Coturnix japonica: one gene and its partners. The protein of the gene in region 4 interacts with the protein of the main gene of each other region in a pairwise test. Links are inferred from orthologs where the notes say so. Each region holds a gene or a part of one and is shown on either strand. Other genes may lie near its edges. The genes, in order: TFIP11, MTUS2, GOLGA2, SH2D4A, HMBOX1, PPP1CB and CDR2.

Evidence for each region.
Region 1: the proteins of SH2D4A (region 4) and TFIP11 interact in binary tests that used the Homo sapiens proteins (3 or more experiments, as listed by UniProt). The two-hybrid records come from large-scale screens. The link is inferred for Coturnix japonica from reciprocal best matches to the Homo sapiens genes SH2D4A and TFIP11.
Region 2: the proteins of SH2D4A (region 4) and MTUS2 interact in binary tests that used the Homo sapiens proteins (3 or more experiments, as listed by UniProt). The two-hybrid records come from large-scale screens. The link is inferred for Coturnix japonica from reciprocal best matches to the Homo sapiens genes SH2D4A and MTUS2.
Region 3: the proteins of SH2D4A (region 4) and GOLGA2 interact in binary tests that used the Homo sapiens proteins (3 or more experiments, as listed by UniProt). The two-hybrid records come from large-scale screens. The link is inferred for Coturnix japonica from reciprocal best matches to the Homo sapiens genes SH2D4A and GOLGA2.
Region 5: the proteins of SH2D4A (region 4) and HMBOX1 interact in binary tests that used the Homo sapiens proteins (3 or more experiments, as listed by UniProt). The two-hybrid records come from large-scale screens. The link is inferred for Coturnix japonica from reciprocal best matches to the Homo sapiens genes SH2D4A and HMBOX1.
Region 6: the proteins of SH2D4A (region 4) and PPP1CB interact in binary tests that used the Homo sapiens proteins (3 or more experiments, as listed by UniProt). The two-hybrid records come from large-scale screens. The link is inferred for Coturnix japonica from reciprocal best matches to the Homo sapiens genes SH2D4A and PPP1CB.
Region 7: the proteins of SH2D4A (region 4) and CDR2 interact in binary tests that used the Homo sapiens proteins (3 or more experiments, as listed by UniProt). The two-hybrid records come from large-scale screens. The link is inferred for Coturnix japonica from reciprocal best matches to the Homo sapiens genes SH2D4A and CDR2.

The regions. Positions count from the first base shown.
Region 1 is NC_029530.1:6,260,357-6,263,687, forward strand, and holds the end of TFIP11 (tuftelin-interacting protein 11), read right to left. Parts: intron 3,188-3,331; coding exon 2,944-3,187; intron 2,610-2,943; coding exon 2,467-2,609; intron 2,309-2,466; coding exon 2,143-2,308; intron 1,841-2,142; coding exon 1,485-1,840; 3' UTR 869-1,484; coding exon of another isoform or gene 644-868; 3' UTR 501-643; downstream 1-500. Other genes in the region: SRRD (SRR1-like protein), read left to right, coding at 57-211, 362-407, 644-868. UniProt on the Homo sapiens protein: Involved in pre-mRNA splicing, specifically in spliceosome disassembly during late-stage splicing events. Intron turnover seems to proceed through reactions in two lariat-intron associated complexes termed Intron Large (IL) and Intron Small (IS).
Region 2 is NC_029516.1:157,080,212-157,083,711, forward strand, and holds part of MTUS2 (microtubule-associated tumor suppressor candidate 2), read right to left. Parts: intron 2,148-3,500; 5' UTR 1,844-2,147; coding exon 1-1,843. UniProt on the Homo sapiens protein: Binds microtubules. Together with MAPRE1 may target the microtubule depolymerase KIF2C to the plus-end of microtubules. May regulate the dynamics of microtubules at their growing distal tip.
Region 3 is NC_029532.1:3,735,658-3,739,612, reverse strand, and holds the start of GOLGA2 (golgin subfamily A member 2), read right to left. Parts: upstream 2,801-3,955; 5' UTR 2,712-2,800; coding exon 2,448-2,711; intron 1,120-2,447; coding exon 997-1,119; intron 678-996; coding exon 597-677; intron 1-596. Other genes in the region: DNA repair protein SWI5 homolog, read left to right, coding at 2,989-3,000, 3,055-3,161, 3,865-3,955. UniProt on the Homo sapiens protein: Peripheral membrane component of the cis-Golgi stack that acts as a membrane skeleton that maintains the structure of the Golgi apparatus, and as a vesicle thether that facilitates vesicle fusion to the Golgi membrane.
Region 4 is NC_029519.1:30,070,082-30,072,832, reverse strand, and holds part of SH2D4A (SH2 domain-containing protein 4A), read right to left. Parts: intron 2,644-2,751; coding exon 2,513-2,643; intron 2,053-2,512; coding exon 1,832-2,052; intron 413-1,831; coding exon 320-412; 3' UTR 1-319. UniProt on the Homo sapiens protein: Inhibits estrogen-induced cell proliferation by competing with PLCG for binding to ESR1, blocking the effect of estrogen on PLCG and repressing estrogen-induced proliferation. May play a role in T-cell development and function.
Region 5 is NC_029518.1:96,819,285-96,823,364, reverse strand, and holds the start of HMBOX1 (homeobox-containing protein 1), read right to left. Parts: upstream 2,801-4,080; 5' UTR 2,499-2,800; intron 2,372-2,498; exon of another isoform or gene 2,352-2,371; intron 2,332-2,351; exon of another isoform or gene 2,164-2,331; intron 810-2,163; exon of another isoform or gene 178-809; intron 1-177. Other genes in the region: INTS9 (integrator complex subunit 9), read left to right, coding at 3,110-3,118. UniProt on the Homo sapiens protein: Binds directly to 5'-TTAGGG-3' repeats in telomeric DNA. Associates with the telomerase complex at sites of active telomere processing and positively regulates telomere elongation.
Region 6 is NC_029518.1:24,323,243-24,327,205, forward strand, and holds the start of PPP1CB (serine/threonine-protein phosphatase PP1-beta catalytic subunit), read right to left. Parts: upstream 2,801-3,963; 5' UTR 2,533-2,800; coding exon 2,481-2,532; intron 1-2,480. UniProt on the Homo sapiens protein: Protein phosphatase that associates with over 200 regulatory proteins to form highly specific holoenzymes which dephosphorylate hundreds of biological targets.
Region 7 is NC_029529.1:8,355,824-8,359,323, reverse strand, and holds part of CDR2 (cerebellar degeneration-related protein 2), read left to right. Parts: intron 1-1,064; coding exon 1,065-1,213; intron 1,214-1,442; coding exon 1,443-1,607; intron 1,608-2,734; coding exon 2,735-3,500.

The DNA of each region.
Region 1 (3,331 bases), on a different chromosome or scaffold from region 4:
CTAACCCCATGTTACCAAGCTGTGTCCACACTGTGACCATACTATCCCCCCACCAGGAGGGAAAGCACAGTATAAATGGGTCTCCCACGCTGTTCTATATGGTGCACTGCGGCAAAGCATTGTACAACAACCTGCTGTGGAAGAACTGGTCTGTTGGCGCCCTGTCCAACATGGTCATCATTGGCAACAGCTTTAAGGGCATCGAGGAGAGGTAGGTACAGCCCTACAACCCATTTCCAACATTGCTGTCCACTCCTTGCTTTCTTTCTGTCACAGCTGCAGCCTCTTCTTCCCTTTTCCATTGAGAAAAGTTGTTTTCATGGCAATTTCATGGTCCTAATTTACCTCTTCTTTTTTATAGGCTGCCATCAAGAGTATTGGAGAGAGATTACACTTACATTGCAAAGGTAAGAAGCACCTTTTAAACACAACACCACTATTTGCATTTACCCAGCACCTTATTGTGAGAAGCAACATTAATCACAACTTTAAAGCTGAAGGTGGTTGTTTTTAAAGCCTTGGGACCATTTTATTATCTTCAGAACACGTTGCAAAGAGGGGCACAGTTAACACAACACTCCCATCTTTCACATAAACTTGCACAGAAGTTCTTTTGCTCTGTGTTTTTCCAAATGCTCTTTAGGTTTTAAAAGGGGTGGAGGAAGTTGCCCTCCCTGCTCATCCGCGGTACTTGGATACCTTTAACGACACCTCCATCCACTGGTTCCCTGCATATAAACTGGAGAGACTCTCAGCTGAAGCTTGGGAGTTCCTGGAGGAGCCGACTTATGAGGAATGTGATGACTTGGAGATCATCAGGAAGGGGGAGGAAGGGAGCCAGCACAGCCCTGCTCCAGTGCAGGCCTAAGTTCTGCCTCTTCCCTCGGTCCTCCTGCACAGCCAAGGTGACACTCAAGCACTGACAGCACTGCTGCCAAAAGCAGCACCTGAACACTGAGCTAGATGGGACATTTTTGTATCATAGTGATTTTTTAATAAAAGTAAAAGCTCCACTTTGACTTACACTCACTGTATGGGAAACTGGTCATCACAGCCTGAACCTCTGATTAAGCAGCTGAGGCAAGTGTCGGGTTAGCTGTGGGAGTACACCATTGAGACAGTAATTACCACTGCCAGGGCACTGCCGCTGTCAAGTAGAGCTGCAAAATCTGTTGGTGGAGCGTTTGAGGCTGATCTACTGTTGGCCCTGCCCTCACTTGTTTAGTGGTTTGAGACAATTATTGCTGAATCTGTATCACAAGTGGCCATTACACAAGCATTGGAACTGCTTGCTCCTCCCCCTTCCTCCCTTTGCATTAGCTTCTACGTATCATTTCACCTCTTGACACTGTTGCAACAGCCAAGAAAACAATCCTGGCATCCAGCTGCAGTTCCACTGTTTGCAAATCTGTAACGTCTTTATTCTAAGACGGTTACATGGAAAAACATTACTAAGATCACCTTCACAGTTTCAAGCAGGAGCCTCACTTGGCCATGTCAATGAGACTCTGGAGAGAGGTTGGCACCCAGGTCTTTTCTCCTTGTACAAATACAACACCTCTGTCAATGTAAATCACAATCCGTCCAAACGTATATAACTGTTTCCCTTCGTGTCGCTTTCCGATCACGGGCATGAAAACAATGTTGTGTTCCTCTGCTTTCGTCTGAATTAGGTCCTTAAAATTCATTGGCACAGAGCTGGCTGCCATGCCTATGCCTCGTTGAGCCATGTTCTCGGCCTCTCGCCGTTCCTGCATGGCTTCATACTGAAAGTCTTTCCTCCTTTCTGTGTGAGTAAGGTATGCAATGTTCTCCCGGGCACCTGGCTGCATGTAGCCACCTGTTGGGGAGAAAAAAGTGTGAAAATCACATGTAAGGTTTATGTGGGGAAGCTCCAGTCCAAGATGCATACAGTGCTAGATTCAGCGAGGCTGAGCTGTAGTGTTCAGAATCATCCTCCATACATTTACATTGCTTGCATTCACAGTGTTACTGTTAATACAAAGACTACATAGATGAATCAGAGAGCTGTAGCTAAAGATACAGGACCTGATGTAGTCCCAAACTAAATCTGAGCATGCACAGGAAAAAATGCTACACTGACAAAGGTCCAGAGTGAATACATCACAATAAGCCACCTACCAACACTGGAAGAGACAGCCCGGTTCATGATATCAAGAGCTTCATTGAATTTGTCTTTGATGGATGGATGTGCCAACACTTGGTCTGAGAACATGGACTTCCAGCCCAAGTACCACTTTGTGATCTCTTCGTAATTGGGGCTATTACTAAGCCAAGAGCACAGCACCTGCAAAACAACATGAACAAATTCAACAGGATAGGTACATTCAGGGAAGTAAATTAGCTTGTTTATGACTCAGCGGAGCAACAATTATTAGGTCAGAGTTACTGAAACACTTCACTTGGAATCACAACTGTCAGAAACAATTCAGCCCTGTTCCTCACCTGCAGCCATTTTGGGAAGAAGTGTTTCTCCAGCAACCCAACAAGACTGGAGACAGAAATCATTCCTTCCCAGTCAATCACCCAGTAGAAGGCATCCATGTGCTGCTGATGAGGGTTTATGATGAGTTCATTCAAACACATCCCTGGAAAGAGGAGAAGAACAGTTAAAGGAGTACCTGACTTACCAGTGCCCCAACCCATCTCACAATGAGGTATATGTGATTATTGCACCGTATTACTTCCAGAATCTTTAAAATGTTTGGCTGATCCCTGCCACCAAAACAGTGCAATTCCATTTCCCTCAATTACAATTTACAGCCAAAACTGAGAAACTTAAGACATTCAGCTTTTTTCCTTCTTTTCTGGATCAGAGCCTTACAGCCAGATTGCACGGCTAAATGAAGATTGCACGGCAAATCTCATAGTGAAAGCATTCACATTAGCAAAAGAATTAAAAATGCCTCTCCGTTGTCTCACCAAGTTTAGGCACAATGTTTTTGACCATGAAAGCCTCCCATGACCCGGGTGTGAACACATCCTTCCACGGCTGAAGGATAAGTTTGGCTGAGGAGTCACTGGGATGCCATTTCTGCAGCGCGTTCGCCAGCTTGTTTCTGATGGGAGAATAAAGTGGTTCCAATCGTGCCTGCATCAGGGGAAGCCAGGGATGGATCCAGGAATGGATTGGGACTGTGTCTGTCAAAGGATTCCAGTTTTCAACCTTAAGGCAAAACACAAAAGAGGTTTAATTTTCTATTGGCACAAAGTCTTCCCAGATGCAGATAACCCCCTAAACCCAAAATACACTGACAAAGGCAACAAGCTGGTATTGCGGAAGCTGCAGTTGATTACAATTCAAACAGTG
Region 2 (3,500 bases), on a different chromosome or scaffold from region 4:
TCTTCATAGGCACTTTGGGGGATATGTTCATCATCTGCGTACTGTCAGCATGAGGTAGGACTGAGGAGGGTGACAGTTTGTCAATGGGAAGTGCATATAGGTCCTTCAAATTACTGTTTGATAGTGTGGGCTGACTGTTAACATCCAGCACTGCCACCGGGCGCATATGAGTTGGAACACATAAAAAAGTGTCAGCCTTTGCCGAAACCTTATAGCTCTCTTGTGCTTCATCTGGAGGATGTTTCTGGGCAGGGATTGTCTTTTTACTTGGAACCACGAAGGTTTCCACGTCACTGACATGGTCGTCAGGCTGTTGGTTTGACACTGTCTCTGTGCTGCACACTCTGTCATGCTCAGAGAGATCAGAAGCAGGCAAGGCAGCTTCCTCAGTGCTTCCTTCGACCAGCATCAGTTTATCCTCATTAACTTGCAAGGGTTTGCTATCAGGAAGATACACATTTTGTATGTGAGATACCTGTTCACCAACTGTTTCAGCACAGCCTGCATCATCTTCATGTAAATTTTTGTTTTTAATAGGTGTCACTTTGCTACTGGAATTACCATCACAGGTGAGTGGGAATATTGTTTCCACTTCTCTGTCTTCCTCACTAAGCTGGGTAGCTGCCCCACTGTCACTGTCATGTCCTTCTCTTCCTTCCCCGTGGATGGTGAAGTTATCACTTTGCAGTCTGTCATCAGAAGAGGTTACAACCTGATTTGACACAGGATCCTCTGCTTTATCACAGATGTCTTGAAAATGGGATGTTTGAAATGTTGATGCGTCAGAGCCAGACTCCTTCTGTTCTTTTACTGTTGTACTTCCATCTTTTTTACATCCCAGAAACTCTACCACCATAATTCTCTCAGTCTTTTGTTGACATGTGTTTTTAGATTGTAGGGATGTCACAGCCTTAAGCTCCAGCTTCTTACTTTTATCACCCTGACTTAATTGTGCTTCTGATTTACTAGCAATCTCACTGGGCTTAACAGCTGAATGATGATGGGTATGAGAAGTATGCAGTGTGCTTTCGGTGTTAACATTTGGTACGTTTTCTGGTTTACTTATTTTCTTGTTCCCTGAGGTAGATGGTTTGGAATAAAAGACAGTATTTTCCTCTGAGGTATTGTCGAGTGGATGAAACACCATCCCAAGAAAATGATCTGTGGAAGTTTTTTGTGATTTCTCTGTATTTCCAATCAAATGGTGCGACCTGTCAATGGAATCCAATGATGCGGAAAGCAGACGTTTACAAGACACACGGCCAACACATTCTTTTGTAAGTGTTTCAGATTGAGGAGAAAATTTACTGGGTCTGCCCAAAGAGAGCCTTTTTATTCTTTCCATCTCCACAGTCCTGGACATTTTACCCTTAGGAAAATTCTGGGTGAAGTCAACATCACCTTTAGAAATGATCTCCAGGTTAGCATCATTTGTGCTGCTTTTTAAACTGGACAGACTTTGTCCTCGGCTCATCCTGATATGCCTTGCTATATCCTTAACTTCACTGGCCCTGCTGTCCTTCCCTATTTCCCTGCTTGTGGTTGAAGGCAGCTTACTTTCTTGTATACCAGTGTTACAGGTCCGAGAGTCTCTGAGCACCAGTTTATTCTGTTCTGTATCCAGACAAGTAACTCTCTCCGATCCTCCAGAGTGTACATTTCCACCTTCATCTGTCAAACCCTGTTTCTTGATTTCCCCCTCCGTGGTTCTAATCTTTGTCATGATTTGGTTGGCATTGCTATCCCCCACGCTCACTGTGCTTTCATTATTATTTTTTATCTCACTGCGATTGTCCTGAAGCTGGGAATAACATGATTTGTTTGGGACTAATGGAGCACTCATTCTGAAGCTTCCAGTGACTGCCTTTTTGGCAGCCCTAGGTAATGAGAAAGCCTTTGTCCCCTATCAGATTAACAAACTATTATGCGTGCTTCAGTTTTAGGCTTAAATTACAAACTGATCAGTAAGAAATTCCTCAGCAGAAGGCTCGGAGTCTCTTGTCAAAGTCACATTTTTGTGCTGCTCAGTTGCCTCCAGTGCAGCTTCTGGATCCAGGAAATCCTTATGAATGCAGTAGAGAGGTTCAACGAAAGCAAAATAGATCTGTCAAGTTCCCTCTGAATGACAGCCAGTTAATCCAGCCAACCTATGAGAAAACAAAAAAAAATAGACTACGTTACATGAATATCATGAGTTATACTAACTAAAAATAAGGTTAAAAGTGGCAAATTTTCCAAAATGGAGAGCTTTCGGACAGTTCAGATTCTCTTTCAGCCACAGCTTTGCCCTCAGCAGAGCTTCCTAATGTAGCCCAGATCTCTGACTTGAGAAGACATAGTTAAAACTGTCCTGGTTAGAAGGCAAGTTGCTACTGACACATAGATTTAAAACTGTTGATTGCTGTAAGCAGCTAAGGACAGAACCCCACATCAAGGCTCTGAGCACTTTCATACTGCTATAAGATATTGACCTTTACTGCACCAAGAAATGCTACTGAAGTTTTTAAAGCACTACTGTAGAGACAAGATTAAGTATTAAAATTCCAGCTCTATTAGGGGGCATTGGTGGGTTTCTTCCTTTGTGCTGCACAAGTCACTGCTCTGCTTGTGCTCTGACTCATGCTGAGCTGCTGTCACCTGCACAGGGATGTGGATCCCTTCTGCTGAGCTGCTCTCCAGCCAGGGACTCAGCAGCATCTCCCAGTTTAGTACTATCAGGAAAATTGCTAAGGATACATCCAGATCACCAATTAAGATGTTGAGCAGAACTGGCCCTGGAACTGAGCCTGGGGAACACTGCCAGTGGCAGCTTCCAGCCAGATGCAGCTCCATTCACTGCAGCACTTTGAGCTGCAGCCAGTTCATCTCTCAGCACAACAAGATCCTGTTCATCTCACAGCTGGACAGTCTGTTCAGAAGGATGCTGTGAGAGATGGCATCAAAGCCTTACTAAAGTCCAGAAAGATTACATCCACTGATGCAATCAGATCCCCTTCATCCACTCAGCAGTGATGTTATAATACATAGAATTATATCAAATTACCAATTACCAGGCACAGTCAGTGTGGGCTCAAAGGAAAAGTCCTGCATTAGTAATTTGACAATTATCTGGGTCTTCTCTCATGCCCTTCTTGTAGGAGGGTATGATGGTGGCTAGCAGCCAGCTGGCAGGGACCTCCCCAGACTCCCAAGACCTTTGGTAAGTTGTTGGGAGGGATCCAGCTGTAACATCTGCTGGCTCCCTCAGTACTATGAAGTGAATCCATCAGGCCCGTGGACTGATGAATGATAAGCTGATACTTGCAATTTATTTTGGTGAATGGAAAGTTTTATTCCCCCAGTCATGATTCTTCAACTCAACGACTGGGTAGCATTAATATTACAAACTAAGGCAAAAAACCCCACACTATTAAATGCTTCTGTCTTTTCCTCATTCCCACGCATTAGGTGACCATCTTCACCTTATGTCCTCACTGTGCCTCAGATATCTCAGACCTGAC
Region 3 (3,955 bases), on a different chromosome or scaffold from region 4:
GCCCTTCCTCCCCCAGGAGTGAGGGAAGACACTCAAGCCTGTAAATGCAGTACTTGAAATACCCGACTTCCTGCCTAAGCACATTTAGAACTGTGGTACTTGCCAGACTGTACATCACCTGTGCAGGTTTCATCACCTGTCATAAAATGGGGCGGCTGGAATAACTAAAGGCTTGCTCAGGGCAGGCATGAGCAGAAACTCGCCCTTCAGGAGCACAGCACTGAAGTGAATAAAACAACACAGACCAGGAGAAATACACATGAATAAAGCACTACTCCTCCCTAACACAGCGTCTCTCAGCAGTTAACTTGGTTTACTGCCTCACCCCAAACTCTGTTTGCTCCTTTCTGCCTTCCAGCTCGGCTGTCTGAGGGACGTGCACTGGACATGGGTGACATATTTGCATTTTTTGACAGAAAACAGGAGGAAACAAGCACTTACAAGCGATGGAAACGCATGTTAACAAACAGCCCCGTGTTAATAAAAACAGCAGACATGCCAGAACAAGGCTCCATCTGAATTCACAGTGTAAAACATAAGTTAAGCATGCAGAGGGGACAGCGAGTCAGTGAGAGGGACACGGAGCACTGCCTCACCTTCCTTCTGTCCAATGAGGGTATGGCTACCCCATTGGAGCGGTTAAGGTCTGACACCAGCACCTTCAGAATGTTCTGAATCTAAAGGAGGCGAAAGAGAAGGGGAAAAGAGAAACGGCTCAGAAAAGGACAGAGAGAAAAACGTCCATCAAAGGCAGCCAAAGAAACGGGCATCGCCCAGCCCCCGAGGAGAGGCAGCTCGGGGTGCATCCAGGGTTGCGTTACAGCTCTGAACGCTCCAGCACTGCTCCAGCACACACCCTGACTCACAGGCTGCTAACAGGGGCTCCTCAGCCGCTCACATTACACTGTTTAACCCTCCCCCAGCTGCAGTTGTGCTGTTTGGGAAACCAAAGCTGGAGGCAGAGGGGATACGTGGGAGGAAGGGGGGGACGCTCACGTTCTCTGGAGACTGTCGGCCGTCGTTTGTGGGAGTCTCAGGCCGACTTCCTTCTTTACTCTTTCGTTTCTTCTTGGCTCCCGCAGTCGCTCCAGGGCTGTTCTTCTGCTGATACTCCTTCAGCTGCGGGGAAAGAAAAGATTAATGTGAAGTCCAAATGGAAGATGTCCTCTGTGAAGGGAATGGCAACAAGAAAATGACAACATAACCAGTGGGTAAGGAGTCAGCTGAGCTGTAAGGACAAGAGAAACCGGCCTTAAAGATGGATATACGTTAAAAATAGTTCAAAGGCTCCAAAAGGGAGAATGAGAGTGATGGGTTTGTGACAGACCGAGAGCTGTCAGTGCTGTCCAACTAAGGAAGTGCCCAGGAAACAACTTGATGCTGCAAGAAGCAACGTTTGTAAATCTGTAACCAACAGCAACGAGGGAAAAAGAACGATAACATGGGATGCAAACTGGAAAAGTGGAGTCTGATAATAAGATGGAACAAGAATGTTGAAAGAGCTTTAGGAGAACGACAGCCCTGCAGGTAACACACTGATACAGGCACAGAATCACAGAATGACCCGGGTTGGAAGGGACCTCAAGGATCATGTAGTTCCAACCCCCTGCCTGGCAGGGCCACCAAACATACACATTTACTAGATCAGGTTGCCCAGGGCCCCGTCCAACCTGGCCTTGAACACCTCCAAGGACGGGGCATCCACAACCTCCCTGGGCAGCCTGTTCCAGGGCCTCACCACTCTCCTAGTGAAGAACTTCCCCCTAAACTGCCAGCACTGCGGGGATGAGCACACTGCGATGGATGCTCAATTGGAGGCCGTTGTGCCCAGGAGAAGCTCAGAGCAGCACAAATGGCCGCAGCTCGGGGCTGTGAGCGCCCATGGAACGCGGGGCTGAGCTTAAACGTCAAGGTGAAAAGCACCGGAACGAAAAGGATCCTCGGCAGGATTTCAAAATGGAGCCCGAGCTGCTCCGGGGCACTTTCCCATTCGTTTGACTTTGACACGGGAGGGCATCGCGATGGGACGGAGCGGGCCGAGCTGTGAGAAGGTAAAAAGGGAAGAGAAAGGGGAAAAGAAAGGAGGGAAAAAGGAGAAGAAAAGAGGGAGATGGAGAGGAAACCCGAACGGGAAAGAGCGGCACACACAGAACGCAGCAGTGCAGCAACACAGGCCCGGCCCCACCGGGGCGACAAGGAGCTGCGGGACCGGGCCGGGCCTCACCGCAACGCTACGGGCACGGCACAACACGGCACAACACGGCCCCACATAGCACAACACGGCCCCACACAGCACAACACGGCCCCACACAGCACAACACGGCCCCACACAGCACAACACGGCCCCACATAGCACAACACGGCCCCACACAGCACAACACGGCCCCACATAGCACAGCACGGCCCCACACAGCACAACACGGCCCAGCACAACCCCCCGCCCTCACCTTCTTCTTGGCCGCCGCCAACTTGCTCTGCCTGCTGCCGTCCGCCATGTCCGCCCCGCTCCCGGGCCACGTCAGCCGCCGGGTGGAGCGGCGCTGTGCTCGGGCAGAGCTCCGCCCCGACACCCGCCCCGACACCCGCCCCACCCCGCGGCCTGGGCTCGGCCGGGCCCCTCCGCCCGGTCTGGGCCGTGAATGGCGGCCGGTCCCGCCCCGCTCAGTGCCCGCCCACGGCGGATGATCGCAGCCCCGCGTTCCGGTTCCCATCGTGCCGTGCTGCCGGTGCAGGCCGCGGCCCTGGCGGAGCAGAGCGGTCCCGGTTCGGGGCGCAACGCGCCGCCCCCGCAGCGCAGGTAGGAGCGGAACGGGTCGGTTCTGTTCGGTTCGGTTCTATGTGCTGACTCGGGGCTCCCCGCGCTGTTTCAGGGCTCTCGGCGGTTCCCGGCGGAGCGGTGGTGCCGGTTTCAGATCCCCGGTGAGCCGCCCATCCCGTCCCATCCCGTCCCGTTCCCCCGGCTCCTCTCGGTGCCGTTCAATAACCGCCATGACGCGCCGTGTCCCCGCAGCGCCCGGCCCCATCCCGCACAACGGGCGGAGCATCGTGCGATAGTATCGAAGAACTGAAAGAGAAGGAGCGAGCTCTGGACCGGGAGATCGCGGAGCTGCTGTCCGAGTACGGCCCCGTTACAGCCCCGTTACGGCCCCGTTATTGTCCCGGTACAGCCCCGGTACCGCGGCCATCCTAAGGGTTATGGGATCCATGCACGGCAGCAGGGAGCTCCTTCCCCGTTGTTTCCCCAGTGCTGTGTTGGTCAGGCTCTGAGCTCCCCTGCTGATGTACATTGGGAAGTAACGGGTGTGTTTCTATAGCTGATGGCAGCACACGTTGTGCTAACAGAGCTGCTGATGTATATAAGCTGAGATCTCAAGCTGAGGCCGCTGCCCAGCTGCCTGGATGAGCGTTTCCCTTGGTCTGTGTGAGGCCATGGACACTTGGTTTGAATGAGGTGGTGGGGGTTAATCATAGAGACATGAAGGCTGATAAAGAGCTCTGATCCCCACCCTGTGCCCACTGCCACGTCCCTCTATTCCACGTCCCTCTATTCCACGTCCCTCTATTCCACGTCCCTCTATTCCACGTCCCTCTATTCCACGTCCCTCTATTCCACGTCCCTCTATTCCACATCCCTCTATTCCACGTCCCTCTGTTCCACGTCCCCATGGCTCTAGAACACCTGCAGTGATAGGGGCTCCTCCATCCCTGTGCTGTACAATGCCCCACCACTCTGAGAAAGGCGTTTTTCCTGCTATCCAACCCAAAATCATTGCTCTAAACAATGATGGGTTTGACCAGGCTGGCTCTGCACACCTCAGATATTGCTTTGTTCCGCAGTGGTTTTGTTGTGTGGCTTTGTTACAGAGGGTACAATGTGGAGGAATTGGAGAAGCACATCTCTCTGCTCCATGAGTATAATGAAATTAAAGATGCTGGGCAGATGCTGCTGGGCAAA
Region 4 (2,751 bases):
GCATTCAAGAGCAAAACCCAGCTTGAACACAGGTATCCCTGAGGAAATCTGCAAAATCTCTGTTCAACTGATTCTTCAATGTCTAATCCAGAACAACATGCATGGTGTATCTGGGTGTTTTGTAGCTTGCGGGGCTGGTGCATCCTTTCTCTCTGTTGAGACAACAAGCCTGTGACAGCACTTATTCTCCCACTGCTTTGTTGTGAAGGATTTGAAATAGAGGCACTTATGGCAAGTTTCAGGTAAGCATCAGTAGCTTCCAGTTTGAAATCCAATCTTGGTGAAAACGGCATGGTGCTACGTAATGAGACTGGGAGGCTCACTCGAAAAGGGAGATGTAATCTGGTTCATGGTCCTCTTGACCACATGGATAAAGCAACAGCTCCTTTCCCATAGAGGTGATGGGTTCATCCTGTTGACAGAAAATGCAATTAAACACTTTTCAAACAGGTCAGTTTACCTGGAATATCACAATATATTGCCACTCCATGACTGTGTGGACCTATTAGTCTCACTGTGTGATATGTCTCAGAGCCCTGGGAATTCAGGATGCAGATCTGCATGGCTGGCTTCTGCCTTCAAGAAAGTGTGCTTGTTATAGTAATCCAGTGACATGATTCTGGTAGGTCTTGGAAATAGCTGTGCTTGTCTTGTAAGCAGCTTCTACAGTGTGAAATGCTGTCCTGCCTAGGAATTTCTGGAGTAAGGATTGTGTGGCATGCAAGTTAGTGGGACTGCAAGCTTGCTGCATTTGCACTAGCACAGGTGGGGTGCCCACAAGTGGGAGTTGTGTTTGTGAGAGGGATGGGACTGGACCCTGCAGTGAACATGTGCCTTCTGCTTTGGCAAGCCTGTTTCTAATGAGAATTCCCTGGAAACTGTTTCTGTTTCCCATCCTGTTCTCAATCTCAGCAGCAGATACATGGTGGGAATTTGCCTTTTTTTTGTGGTCATCCAGTGGGTGACGAATAGAACCCACTGGAGCATGTTATCTGGGTAGGTTTGCCCTGCTCCCACATACATCTGCTGTAGTGCAATAGAGTCCGTAGGATTCTTTGCAGACTGTGGGTGTGACTCTATCTTTAATACAGATATCTACAGCCAGGCTTTAAATCTTCCAGCTCTGGTGCCAGTAAGTTGTCTAGCTCCTGCTTCCAACAGGTTCAACCTGGACTGTGAAACCTACATAAGAAGCAGGTTGAAGAAGCCCAGATAGATTTTCACATAGCAAATGAGTGTAGATATTTTTTCACCTACCAGTTTTGGTTAATCGTGTCTAAATTATGCTAGGCTCTTACTTGGAGCCTATGCAACTGCAGTCGGTGCTAGCAAACACTTGGCGTTACTGTTGTAAGGACTTGACAGCCTTCTTCCTTCCCTTCCATTATTTGCTACCCTTGCTCCATATCATACCTTGTCTGTTTTGAAATTATAAATATACCTTGTTCTCTTTCTTTCTGAAGCTGGAGGTGAACTATTTTCAATTTATTGAACTTGCTGGGACCCCACAACCACTGAGAAAATCATAAAAAGTCTGAATGCTTTCATCTATTGCCTTATCAGCAGTTCTGCTAAATAATGTGATTGAGCCCCATACAAGGTGTTCTGCCTGCTTGAGGGGGAGCAGTTAAGGTCTAAGACATCTGAGATGTATGTGGGTGTCCCCACTGGTCTCACATACCCTTCTGGAATGGCACATATAATACCCAGTAGTAGCTAAAATGGGACTAGTTAACTACATTATAACAACTGAATCTGATGCTTCTTATTTTGAAGTGCTTTGAGGCAAATACATAAACGGTAGTTAATGAGTTAATTGCTGGAACTTCACCTTGTGGTAGTCAACAAGGTCAGCCAGTGTTGAATGTTGTAGCTGGTCCACTCCAAGGAAGCTGTAGGAATCGCTGGAGGCATCAATAAGGAAGTGTTTACATCCCTCTGCAGACTGATAGGAAAGCACGTAGCCTTTGATTTTCTCACTGACACGGACCAGAAAACTCCCCGGCACTGTTTTACTCAGAAGCTCCTCTGCTTTTCTAGAGGTTAGGATACCTGTTCAAAGCCACAACACAGAACTGAAGTGAGAAAAGCATTTGTGCAGGAGCAGATGGAGCAATTCTCCCAATAAACCCTTTTTTACCATTCTAAAAGTAATTCACAGTGCTTCTATTCCCTGCTTGTTTTCTGGCCCACTATTACAAGAAAGGTACTGCCATTGCTGGTAGCAGACCATGGTGTCATGCTAACTGTGCTTTGTGCTAACTGTTCTACATCCAGAATATTAGGCTTATCAGCTAGCTATGCGAAGTCAAGATCTGGCTTCCACTCCAAGACTTTAGCTTGAACTTTGTCACAATTAGAGAAATTCATACTCTTGTACATATTAAAAATAGAAAATGTTGCTAGCTACCTTCAAAAAGTTCCTGGGAGCAGTCTGTTGTAGCAGCCCTGTAGTTGTAGTAGAAACAACTCCTTAAAAGGTTGAGTTGGGGCGAAAGTGCTCAGGACTCACCATGAAACCAAGGTGCTATTGTGTCTGTGTTTTTTTGATAGCCAGCTCGAAGGGGGAATTGCTCTTCTTTGAACCACCTGATGATGCTTTCTTCAGCTGAACTGGAGATTGTCCTCTGGATTCCTTCTTTCCTGTTACAAAAGACAGTGATCTGTGGATCAAGTTCAAATGACAGCTTTTGGATCCTGGCAAGAATTGCTTTTTGTTCAGCGTGATAGGAACAATGCTAAATAGAAGGC
Region 5 (4,080 bases), on a different chromosome or scaffold from region 4:
TTGTGCAGCAGACACTGCTCCTAGTTCTGTTGAATTACCGTATCGCAGCACTGGAGGGATGCGTGTTTTCTAGAAAGGTCAATAAAATAGAAAAGAATTGCTCAAGACCGCTTAATAAAGTAGTTCTAGAGATAAGCAGGCCTCATCCACGCAGTATTTCCTTGAAGGTTTCCTTACCATTCTTTAAATAACCTGCCGTTTCACCTCTGGTAGCATTCCTGTAACACAGCTGGCAGTCTGCATAGCACAATGTCGTCTAGACCTGCTCTGAACAGAGTTGGATGACACAGGAGTAAAAATGCTGATGGCTGTTCGGGTGCCTGCGCTGTGCTGAAGGAACGATAGGAGGAAGAACGAGGCAGAGCTGAACGAGACACAAGTTCCTTGTTCCTCCTCCGTTCCTCCCTTGTTCCTCATCTCACGCCCAGGCTCGTCAGACAATCCCATCAACCATACAGAAAAGTTGTGGCGGTCATGGGGCTAAGGAATAATCTTCACATAGGTGGGAAAAAACAATCCCAAACCCCCGTTAGCTGATATAGCATCAAGCACCACTCAGAGGTCTCAGAATAGGCAGCTAACAAACACATCCCTGCACTGCTATCTCCCATCTCTCCTCCCCCACCTGTGCCTCAGAAATGTTTTCTTAACGATTCGGAAGAGAAATGGCAAAAAGGTTGATGCGAAACACAGAAAGAAATGAAGTTCGTTCCCTGTTCTCAAACGATTTGGCCGTAGCATGACAAGAGGAAAAAAACATATTGAGAGCGATAAATCCATATATACCTACTCCAAACTACACCCAGCATCCCGAGGGACCCGATGTAATGGTAAATAAATATAGATGCAGTTCCTACTAATGAGGTAGGGTACAGCAAGGCCAAAGCAAATGCAATCAGCTCGGGGAAAAGAACTGCACAGGACTCCTCCTCTCCCATCCAGGGAAGAAATCAAATAGCAGCCACACCATCCCAGGAAGAAAGCAATGTACCTGATGAACCCTGCAGCAATGAGCTGGGATGCAAGCAGGCACTACAGCACCAAGCCTTTCCCCACCAGTTTCCCCTTCCCTGTATTTACGTGCTGTCTTACAGGCAAATTGTAGTTTTCCCCCCCAGTTTCCTTCCCCTCCATCCCTATATAGTTGGATCAGGGGCATCCAGCAGATCCGCTCCCACACCGCCAAGCCCTGGCTGTCACGTTAACACTTTCCTCCCTACAAAGTTTCAACCTTCCCAGCTCCAGCTCACGTGCTGTGCTGTACTTAAAGCCACTTATCTCTAGTCCCAATGAGAACAAATTAAGCTACACCCCACTCCGCTGTCTGCTTACAGCCTTGATTTTCCTCTTCCTTCTTCCCTCCCCACCCCCCCCAAAGAAGCATTTTGACCCCTGCACATCACCGAACACCCACAGCTTTTTTCAGACCCACCGAAAAGGGTAAAATAAAAACCACAACAAAAAACACGACATTCCAAAGAAGTACTTCGCAAAACAACTGAAAAACCCACCAGAGGTGGAAGAACTCAGCCCAACCTGCTTCATATGTGCGATCTGAGCTGATAAACAGCACCGAACTCGGGTAGGGTCAGCCCAGAAGCGGGGCAGGGTGGGTGGGCAGCATCCCCTGCCATGCCGGGCTCTCAAGGGGGCATGAGGGTCCCCCGAACGAACCCGGGCACAGACAGAGAAGCGTCGCAGCTTCTCTCCCCGTGAAGTAGGGAATAAACAAGCGGCTGACACCCCGCCCAAACCCTCCTCACACGTTTTAGGACCGATTTGTCGCCGGCTCCTTCACCCCATCCCGCACAAACGAATCCCTTCGGTTCGACGCCTTCGCCCTCCCGCAAAGCCCCGGCAGCGGCACAGCTCGGGGGGGGGAGGCGGAATGCCCTTTTCCCCCCCACATAACCGTAGGAAAACAGTTGGGTTCACCCCGGAATGAGTGATCGCTCCCTCAAGGGTCGGATCCCGGAAAGGAATGAGGAGAAAAGAGGGGGATAAAGGGCTGAGAGATATGGGGGGGGTATGGGGAGGGAAGGGGGAAAGAGGGATGAGGGAGGGGGGCCCCCCCCAGCTCCGCTCGGGGTTCGCGGTCCCAGCACCGAAACAAGCGGAAAAATAAAGAAGAATAAAGAAATAAACGAAAGAACCAGCACCCACCCAACCTGAGGGGACTCCGCCGCCGCGACTTCGTCCTCCCCACACCCGGGAGTGGATGGGGGGGTGAAGAGGGGGGATGAAGGGGTGAAAACACAAAACAGAATAAAAAGCCGAAGCAGCAGCAGCAGCAGCAGCAGAGCGATCTCCCTGTTATCCGGGGGCACCCTTCCGTCCCCCTCCTCACGCACCCTCGGATCTCCTCACGCCTCGAATCCCTCCCAGGCTCAGACACAGCCGGGGGGGCCCTTCCCCCTCCCACCCACCCTCCCTCCCACCCTCCCTCCTGGCAGCCCACCCACCCGCCCGCCCCCGTTCCCCCCCTCACCCCCACTCACTCACTCCCGGTGCCGGCGGTTCCTCCGCTTCACCATTGAACGGGCCGCCCCCGCCGGGGACCCCCCCCCTGCAATGAGGGGAGATGAACGTGGACAACAATAGCGCTGTGCTGCCGGAGCCCCCCGAGGATAACAGCCCCCCCCTCCCCTCTCTGCCCCCTCGGCTCCTTTTCTCTCTGTTGGGCTTTATTTTTTTGTGGTGGTGGTTTTTATTTCTCCCCCCCCCCCCTCCCGGCTCGCTCACACCAGACCGACTGTCTTTGTCTGTCTGACAAGCGCCATGTTGATATCAACATCCGAGCTCCCACCTGCTGCAGCTGTGAGACCCTGGGACTTGTAGTTCCCCCCTCCCCAGGGTGACGGGGAGCGCCGCGGCTCACGGACTACAATTCCCAGCGTGCCGTGCGGCGCGGCGCCACCACGGGAGCGCGGGGCGAAGCGGAGCGCGGACTACGGCTCCCAGCATGCAACGGGACGGCAAGGTGATATGGAGGGGGGCGGCATGACGTCATCACGGGGGGACTACAAATCCCGTGATGCTTTGCGGCGGGAAGGGGGAGCGAGCCGGAAGTGGGGGGGCAGGATTGTGCCTGTAAATAGAGCCGGGCAGCATGAAGCTGGTGAGTGGGGGCTATGGGGCCATTGGGGGCCGTGGGGGGTCTATAGGGCCATGGGGGGCTGTTGGAGGCTATTGGGGTCTATTGGGGGCTATTGGGGTCTTTGGGGGCTATTGGGGTCTATGGGGGCTATTGGGGTGTATGGGGGGCTGTGGGGGGCCATGGGAGGCTATTGGGGGCTATGGGAGGCTATTGGGGTGTGTGGAGGGCTGCTGGAGGCTATTGGGGCCTATTGGAGGCTATTGGGGCCTATTGGGGGCTATTGGAGGCTATTGGGGGCTATTGGGGGCTATTGGGGGCATGGGAGGCTATGGAGGGCTATTGGGGCTATGGGAGGCTATTGGGATGTATTTGGGGGCCATGGAGGCTACTGGGGGCCATGGGAGGCTACTGGGGGGCCATGGGAGGCTACTGGGGGCTATGGGGGCTGCTGGTGGCTATGGGAGGCTGTTGGGGGCTATGGGAGGCTATTGGGATGTATGGGGGGGCTACTAGGGGCTATGGGGGGAGCTGGGTGGTGTTCTCTGCGCTGGGATCACCCTCGGGGGTTGGGTGAGGGGCAGGCAGTGGGTTTGGGCCCATAGCACATGGGGCTGTCCCATAGGAGCATCCCCAATGGTTCGGTGTGGAAATAGCTGCTGCTTTAGTGTTAATACACGTAGCTGAGGACACAGCACTGTGTTATTCACTAGGAGAGTGGTTAGGCCCTGGAAACAGGCTGCCCAGGGAGGTTGTGGATGCCCCGTCCTTGGAGGTGTTTCAAGGCCAGGTTGGATGGGGCCATGGGCAACCTGATCTATGGGGTCTCTATGGGGTCTATGGGGTCCTATGGGTCCTATGGGGTCTCTTGGCAACCTGATACTAGTAAATGTGTAGTGTTTGGTGGCCCTGCTAGGCAGGGGGGTGAACTACATGATCCTTGAGGTCCCTTCCAACCCGGGTCAGTCTGTGATTATTACACGCCT
Region 6 (3,963 bases), on a different chromosome or scaffold from region 4:
TCATTTCTGTGGTCCCCCATCAGCTGCAAAGTGTTTCAGCAAAGCTAAAGAACTATGGTTGAATGACTTTTAATGTTTGCAGAAGCTTTCATGAGCTATTTCTGTATCAAAATTTATCATGTAATCAGCCAAAAGTACCCCCCAAATCAATCAATCTAGAAGCACCATCTCTAACAAGTAAGCAAGTACCAGACATATTTTAACAGTCACCGCAAAACAAGCTCTTACCATTCATTAAACCAGCAGCGAATTCAGCAATAAAAAGGATTAGTATTCAGTATATGCAAGAACATGGAAATAAACCAACGTCCTGGGAAACTATCATCAAGCATTAGACTATGGCTCAGCTGAGCCTTCCTGAAAACTATATCCCCAATTTAACTCAGAGCAAAACACTCCAAGCACTCTAAGGATCCCATGTACATGTTCAGAGTAACCATGCATGCAGGCACATCTGCTGAGTGTCAGTACTTTGTCCTTGAGGAAAACTCGCAAGCAGCCCAGCCACAGGCCGCCTCATTCTGACGTCTCAAACAAGAAGAATCACATGCAGGGTAAGATGATCTACTGCAATCAAAAGGCAAGTTTAAGGTGTTATATAATCCACAAGACAAGTGGTCTTGAGCAATCGTAGTGAAAACAGCTACGAGAAACGTAATTAAGAACACAGGCTAGAGAGCCTCACAGCCAGGAACAGGTGTCACAAAGCAGGAGGCCAAGGTCACTAGGGAAGGTTGAGGCCACAGCTTTTGATACGCACTTACTGCCTTTAAAATTGATGTGCAGCCTCAGACAACTGCAGACTGCTGCTGAAACTGAACACTACCCACTTCGCCTCGAGTAACCAAAAGGACCACAGGCCTACAGCACACCAACATTACATTACAAATACTATTGATTATGGTAATGCAGTTTTTGGTTTAACAGCCCAAAAGCCACATTTCCTCATTGTTATAGTCAACAAAATTACCCTGTTTTCATGAAGAATCTTCCTGATCTCCGCTCTAAGAGATTAAACTGGCTGACAAACAGATGCTAAACCATCACAAAAACTTATTTCTGAAATTGCATATACATATGGTTAGAAATTAAACTGCCATGGAATGAAAAGCATAGATAAGGTTGCTTGGTCTCAGTACAGCCAATTATAACCCCAAGTGCTAGAGAGTTGCAACACAAGTATTTATGGTATATACAGAAGGAAACAAGTAAGTACTTTAAAGGTCTTGATCACCTTACAACAGAAATCCGTCTGCAAGCAACAAGCAGATGGGCAGAGAGGAAAAGTACTTCTCATTTTCCTTTATTTAAGAGCCTCTTTCCATAAATAAGACCAAAGAAAGCAACCAAAAAATCACAACGCCATACGTACACACACCACACACCTTACGAAGGTCAAAAATAAAAGTACAAGAAGAAGTCAATGTTTAGTAGGTTACTGCTTCGCTTGCCTTACGCCTACCTACTAATCTGGGTTCCAACACGCAGAAAATGGGGAGTTTATCTGGAGTAGTGATCAGAGATAAACTCTGACTGATAACAGCTGCAGGTTCTTTCCATACTACACTACACTGTGTATCCTGAAACACAAACACGAGTACAACCTCCCAGCGCCTTCGTGTTTTTTAAAACACTGGTTTTATTGCTTTTAATTTATAGTTTCACCTCCCAAAAGGAGAGCAATTACAATTAAAAACTGAGAGCCCTACAAACTCTGCTTGGCAGTAACTTGGCTATAAAGAATTTTCACGCTTAGGAGACTCGTTTCCATTCCAGGACAGTACGTACTCCATACATTTCTTTATATAAGCCTTCTGCAAAGCGATTTAAATACCCGAGGCTCCCATCTCCATTTGTGGCGAGTGAAGAGCTCGTATCCGCGTACAGCACAGCGGGCACGGGCTGCGTGCGGGATGGATGAGCTACGTGAGGAGAGGCCTGCGGAGACCCAGCACTAGAGACAACTTACAAGAAAACGCTAATATCACTATCGCAGTTTATCCGGAAAGACGGATTCACCTTCCCTTCTCATTTTGAGGGAAACCCGCACAAAACACACTGCAGCCCTGAGCAGCTCTGCACAGAGCACAGGCACAGGGCCGCTCCCACACAACCCCTCACCTAACGCCGCTCCCCAACGCGTTTCAGACCCGGGAAGCTACGACTGACCCAGCCGGCCCCCAGCTCTCAGCCGAGCCTTCCCCCAGAGGGCAGCTGCGGCGGCGGGAACGGCTCCTCCGCTGCTTTAAAGGCGGCGGGGCTCCCCCCTCCCAGGTACCCCCGCAGCGTCCCCTGTTCGCTGCGAGGAGCTGCGAGAGGCCCGGTCCGGCCGTGGAACACCCCGAGGAGCCCCGAGCCCCCCAGGCGCCCCCCGGCTCCGACGGAGGGGCCGCCCCGTCTCCCGCCGCGCCCCGCCCGCCCGCCTCCCGCCGGCGCCCCCCGCTGTCCCGCGGGTCGGCTCGGCCCGGCTCGGCGCTCACCTTCCAGCAGCCGGGTGATGAGGCTGTCCACGTTCAGCTCCCCATCCGCCATTTTGTGGCCACCACACTCGGTCCCGGGCGGGGAGAGGGCGGGGTGGAGGGCGCTCCGCCGAGCAGCAGCAGGAGGAGGAGGAGCAGGCAACAGCAACGGCGGCCGCGGCGCAGACGGCTCCCCCCGCCCCCCGCGGGCAGTGCCCTCCGGCCGCCCGGCGTCACAGAGCAGCGCAGCCCGGCCGAACTCGCTCCCGTTGCTCCCTCGCCGCTAAATGGGAGCAAGCGGCCGCCTCGTCTACCCGCGCCTCCTCCCCGCCTCAGCAGCCGCCGCCGCGCATGCGCTGAAGGAGCGGCGGGTGGCGTGGCGCATGCGCGGTGTTGTAGCTCCGGTCTGGAGCGGCTTCCAGTCACCACATTGAGGCGTAATTATATATTATCGTAGAACATGAAGTATTTAACGTGGACTGCGTGCGTTGTCTTTGATCAAGGGGAGCTGCTCAGTGACTTCTGACATTACAGCATACACACATGGAGACCAAAGATAGCTAACTCGTTATTTAAGTAGCAGAAGCAGGACGTTGCTGATTTGCCTGTGGCAAACTCTCATTAATAATACTCATCTTTCTAAACTTCCTTTTGGTTATTTGGAAATTTCCTCTTATGTCCACAAACAGGGCTTTGCTGCTAACGTTGGTCTCAGTGCCATTTACCATAAATACCCTGTGTGACATCTTTCCTTACCCACATGCTGTCTCATGATATCCTTTAATTCAGCACTAAATGTATAAGAATCAAACAACAGAGATTTCCAAATAAGGTGGCAAAAAATGATGAGTTAGTAAGTATTATTCTCTAAGTCCTTACTGTGCTACTGAGACGGTTGTGTCCCAGTTACAGAGCCCTGTCCTGACAATATTGCCTACTCTTTCCTGGTTGCCTTACATAGGGTCAGCAATCAAGTACTTTACGTATTGACTTCAACACGGTTAAAGTTGCTTTCAGAAACCATAGATCCAGCTGTATTGTCCTTCTTGGTCTGTCCTCAGTCACCTGAATGAAAACACGTGGCAATATTTGACAGCTATCCACTCGCCACAGCTTATATCTGACATGTATCACCCTTGTGGAGACTGACTACCATTGCTGTGTAGGTGGGAAAAGCTGCATGGCCTATAGTTGATTTTCCATCCTGTAATCAGGAGCATATTTTCCCTGCATGGAAGCAAAGCTGCCTCAATGGCCTTTTTCAATTGCTGACTTGAAATGGGAGTTAGTGACCCCAGTCAGCACAGGCACATGTTTTCTGAGGACACCTTGCTTCTAAAACACTCACGGGTCTTGATTTTTGAGCAAGAAACCACATCCAAGTGCTCTCAAAATAGACAAATACTGCTGATTAATTATCACTAGTTGGTTGCAAAACCTTATATCCAGAAGCAGTCACAGAAAAACAAGCAGATCCTACCATGCATCACCTTAGGACACTTTT
Region 7 (3,500 bases), on a different chromosome or scaffold from region 4:
TAACTGTGTGTACGGAGATGTAGTTCTGCTCAGAAGTCCAACAGGTGCTCATATGTTTAGTATGTAGTAACACAGAATTTATTTTATGGCGTTAATTCTACGTAACAAATAAGTATTCAATAGTTTAGGGGTTGGGGGGTTTGTTATCAAGTCTGTTTATTATAAATTTTTGTTCTTTTTTTCTTTTTTTTGAAGCTGGCTCAGTGCTGCCCTAGCTGGGACGATATAAGGCACTTGTACTGAGAGTCTTAGGTGATGGTTAACTTTCTGAAATAATCCTAGACACTTAGCAGGTTATTTTGTTAACCATAAAAGTAAAGGGAATTAAAATGAGATCACTTTGTGTGGAGTTGTATTTAAAAAAACAAAACAAAGTGCAGGAGACTTTTTCAGCATTATAATGACTGAAATAGTTCCCTGTAGGTAATTAAAGACTGAATCCAATAGCTTGGTTCTACTTCCTGACACATAGGAGTCTGCAGAATCTCAGGTGTGACCACATCCTAAAATGTGTTTTGCTGAACCTAACGCTGATTCAAACATAGACAAGCAGAAAAACAATCAGGGTAGTGCTACCCAATACTTCAGTTTAAATGCTGAGAAAATTATTGGGTCAACATTATTACAAAATTTATGATGTAGTTCAGTGCAACTTTTAGAAGGACTCTGTGAAGAACTGTGTTGAAATCCAGGTTTGTGGCTGAGTTGGTGATGACTGCAGCACAGACAAACCCAATCCAGATGGGTTTGTGGTAGCACTGGCAATAGTTTAACTGCAGCAAGGATGGCTAAACAGATAAACACAGTTTGCACGAACCAACCCAACTCATGTGGGTAAAGGACTGGTTGATCAGCCTTTGCTGACCTCCATGACAAAGGCAAGAGAAGTAGCTAAGCTACTGATTGCACCTTTTCAACTGGGCAGTAACCAAAGCAACCACTGGAACCTGTACGTTTCTAAATCACAGCAATCATAGCAGGTATTTAATGTGAACAAAACTGCAGAATAGTAGCCCTATCCTGTGTTTCTAGTATAGACTTGTAACAGCAATGCTGTCTTGCAGTATCTCACAAAGCAAGTGGAGCTCTTGCGTCAAATGAATGATCAACATGCAAAAGTTTATGAACAGCTGGATGTGACAGCAAGAGAACTAGAAGACACTAATCAAAAACTAGTTGCAGAGAGCAGAGCGTCACAACAAAAGATACTAAGGTAACAAACCTAAGCTAGATCCTCTTTTCTCCCCTCTACTCAACTGATACATGCAGCTTTTTGGTGGCTGTTTGTCTAGCATTGTTCTACAACACTCTTAAACTGAAAGTTTTATTTAAAGGTGATTTGTGGCCAAAGAGCTTCAGAGAAGCTGGAATGGGGAGGGATGGGAACTAATCTGTCCTGGATTAAACTGTCAAGTGTTTTAACATCAGTCCTTCACTTTTAGCTTGACAGAGACTATTGAAAATCTGCAGACACACATAGATGACCTGCAGAGGCAAGTAGAAGAACTGAAAAAGTCTGGACGAGGCCGGATGAACCATGAGAGATCTGACCAGCCAAGATCAATGCACAGCTTCTCTTGTTTGAAGGAGCTATATGACCTTCGCCAGTAAGACTCTTACCTTGCATAGCAAACAGATTATTGAAATTATTTTGAGCAATGTTTCAAAAACTAGATACAAGCACAGATGTTTAACAGGGTAGCAGAAAAGCATTTTAAGTTTGCAACTAGAAAAACACCTGCACAGCTGTGCAGTGTGTGGTGTTGTCATGCTTCTGGTGTGCTCTGGCTGCGGACTGTATTGATCTTTGTGGGAGAGGAACAGTATGTTCTACTTTCTATCTTGACAGGTTCTCCCCCAAAGTCTCCAGCTGTATGAAACTGTGTCCTAGAAAGCCTTCAAGAATGTGAACCTCCCTCTTTTCAGTTAGATAAAGCACAAACACAGATAGCTACAAAGTAAATTATCCTAAACAATATTTTCTGTAACTTACTTTTTCCTTGGACATCTGTAGGCACCTTCTTCTCAAGGTGAGCTTGCTGCAGTAGCTTTGCAGAATTTAAGCTGGTAAAATGTTGCCTGAAGCTTTAGGCTGCTTTCTAATGTAGAGCAGTTCTACCCAGCTGAACCACATTGTATGCCCATCAGGAGTCACCCGGGGTATGGTCCCAATCTGTCTTCACTGCTAGAAGCTAATAGAGGAAGTGAAGTACTTCTGCAGACAGGGAGAACAGGATTTGTGTTTAGGCTTCCAGCACTGTGCAAGTAAGACTGAGCAATTAACAACCTATGCAAGCAAGGAATTACTTGATGACAATTCAAAAGATAAATGGGTTACTTCAAACTGTGAAAGGTTTGTGGGATTGCCGCTCTACAGAACTGCTTTGTTCATTCTGAAGCTTGTTTCCACAATCAGGGGTGACACAAGTTAAGAGATGTGGTAGAAATCTGAAAGTCAGGGAGTATCACATAATATGTGAAGGCAGTATTTAAAAAACTTAAATTATAGATCTCATTATTCAGTAAACTTATCTGTAATTTGAGATTGTTAAAGAGCTGCCATCCTGCTTGAGCTGAGAGGCTTGATGGCACATGAAGTATCTACAGGCTCCAATCATGCTATGTATTCTTTCAGATCTGTTAACATAAACTGTCATTAGTTACCAATGACAGGAAAACTTCAGGTGCAATCAGCTCTATTTCCTATTAGTAATCCTTGCTTCTGTCTCCTCAGGTATTTTGTTTATGATCACGTGTTTGCAGAAAAGATTACTTCAATGGATAGTCAGCTAAGTCCTCTGGAAGAAGAAAATGAGAACTTGAAGAAGGCAGTTACGGTTCTGCAAGCCCAGCTCAACCTAGAAAAAGAGAAGAGGGTAACGATGGAGGAGGAATATAGTCTTGTGGTGAAAGAAAACTGCGACCTTGAACAGAGGCTTGTTGATATTGACTTGTATCGGGCTCGTGCAGAGGAGTTAGAAGTGGAAGTAGCTGAAATGCGACAGATGCTTAAATCTGAAAACACACTCCACAATGCGGAGAAATTGGTGCCAGAATCCTTTTTCATTTCATTTAAGGAATCTTTAGAAAGGGAGCTTGGTCAGAGCCCAGCTGATGACGGGCTTCTGGCTGTCCCTGAACTTGACAAAAAGGCACTGAAGCGGAGCAGCAGTGAAAATTTCCTGAGCAGTGCTGCAGGGGGAGACATTCTAAGGGGCCACGAAGAAACGTGTATCAGGAGAGCTGAAGCTGTGAAGCAGCGGGGAATCTCTGTACTCAATGAAGTCGATGCTCAGTATAATGCTCTGAAAGTGAAATATGAGGAACTTTTGAAGAAGTGTCAAATAGATGAAGATTCTTTGAAACACAAGGCTGTACAAACACTGAAGCAGTATTCTAAAGACAGTGTGGGAAATAACCAGTATGAGTTTTCAGCTAATAATCAAGAATTTATGAATGCAGGAGAATCGCTCAGCTCCACAAATACTCTTCCTGAATAT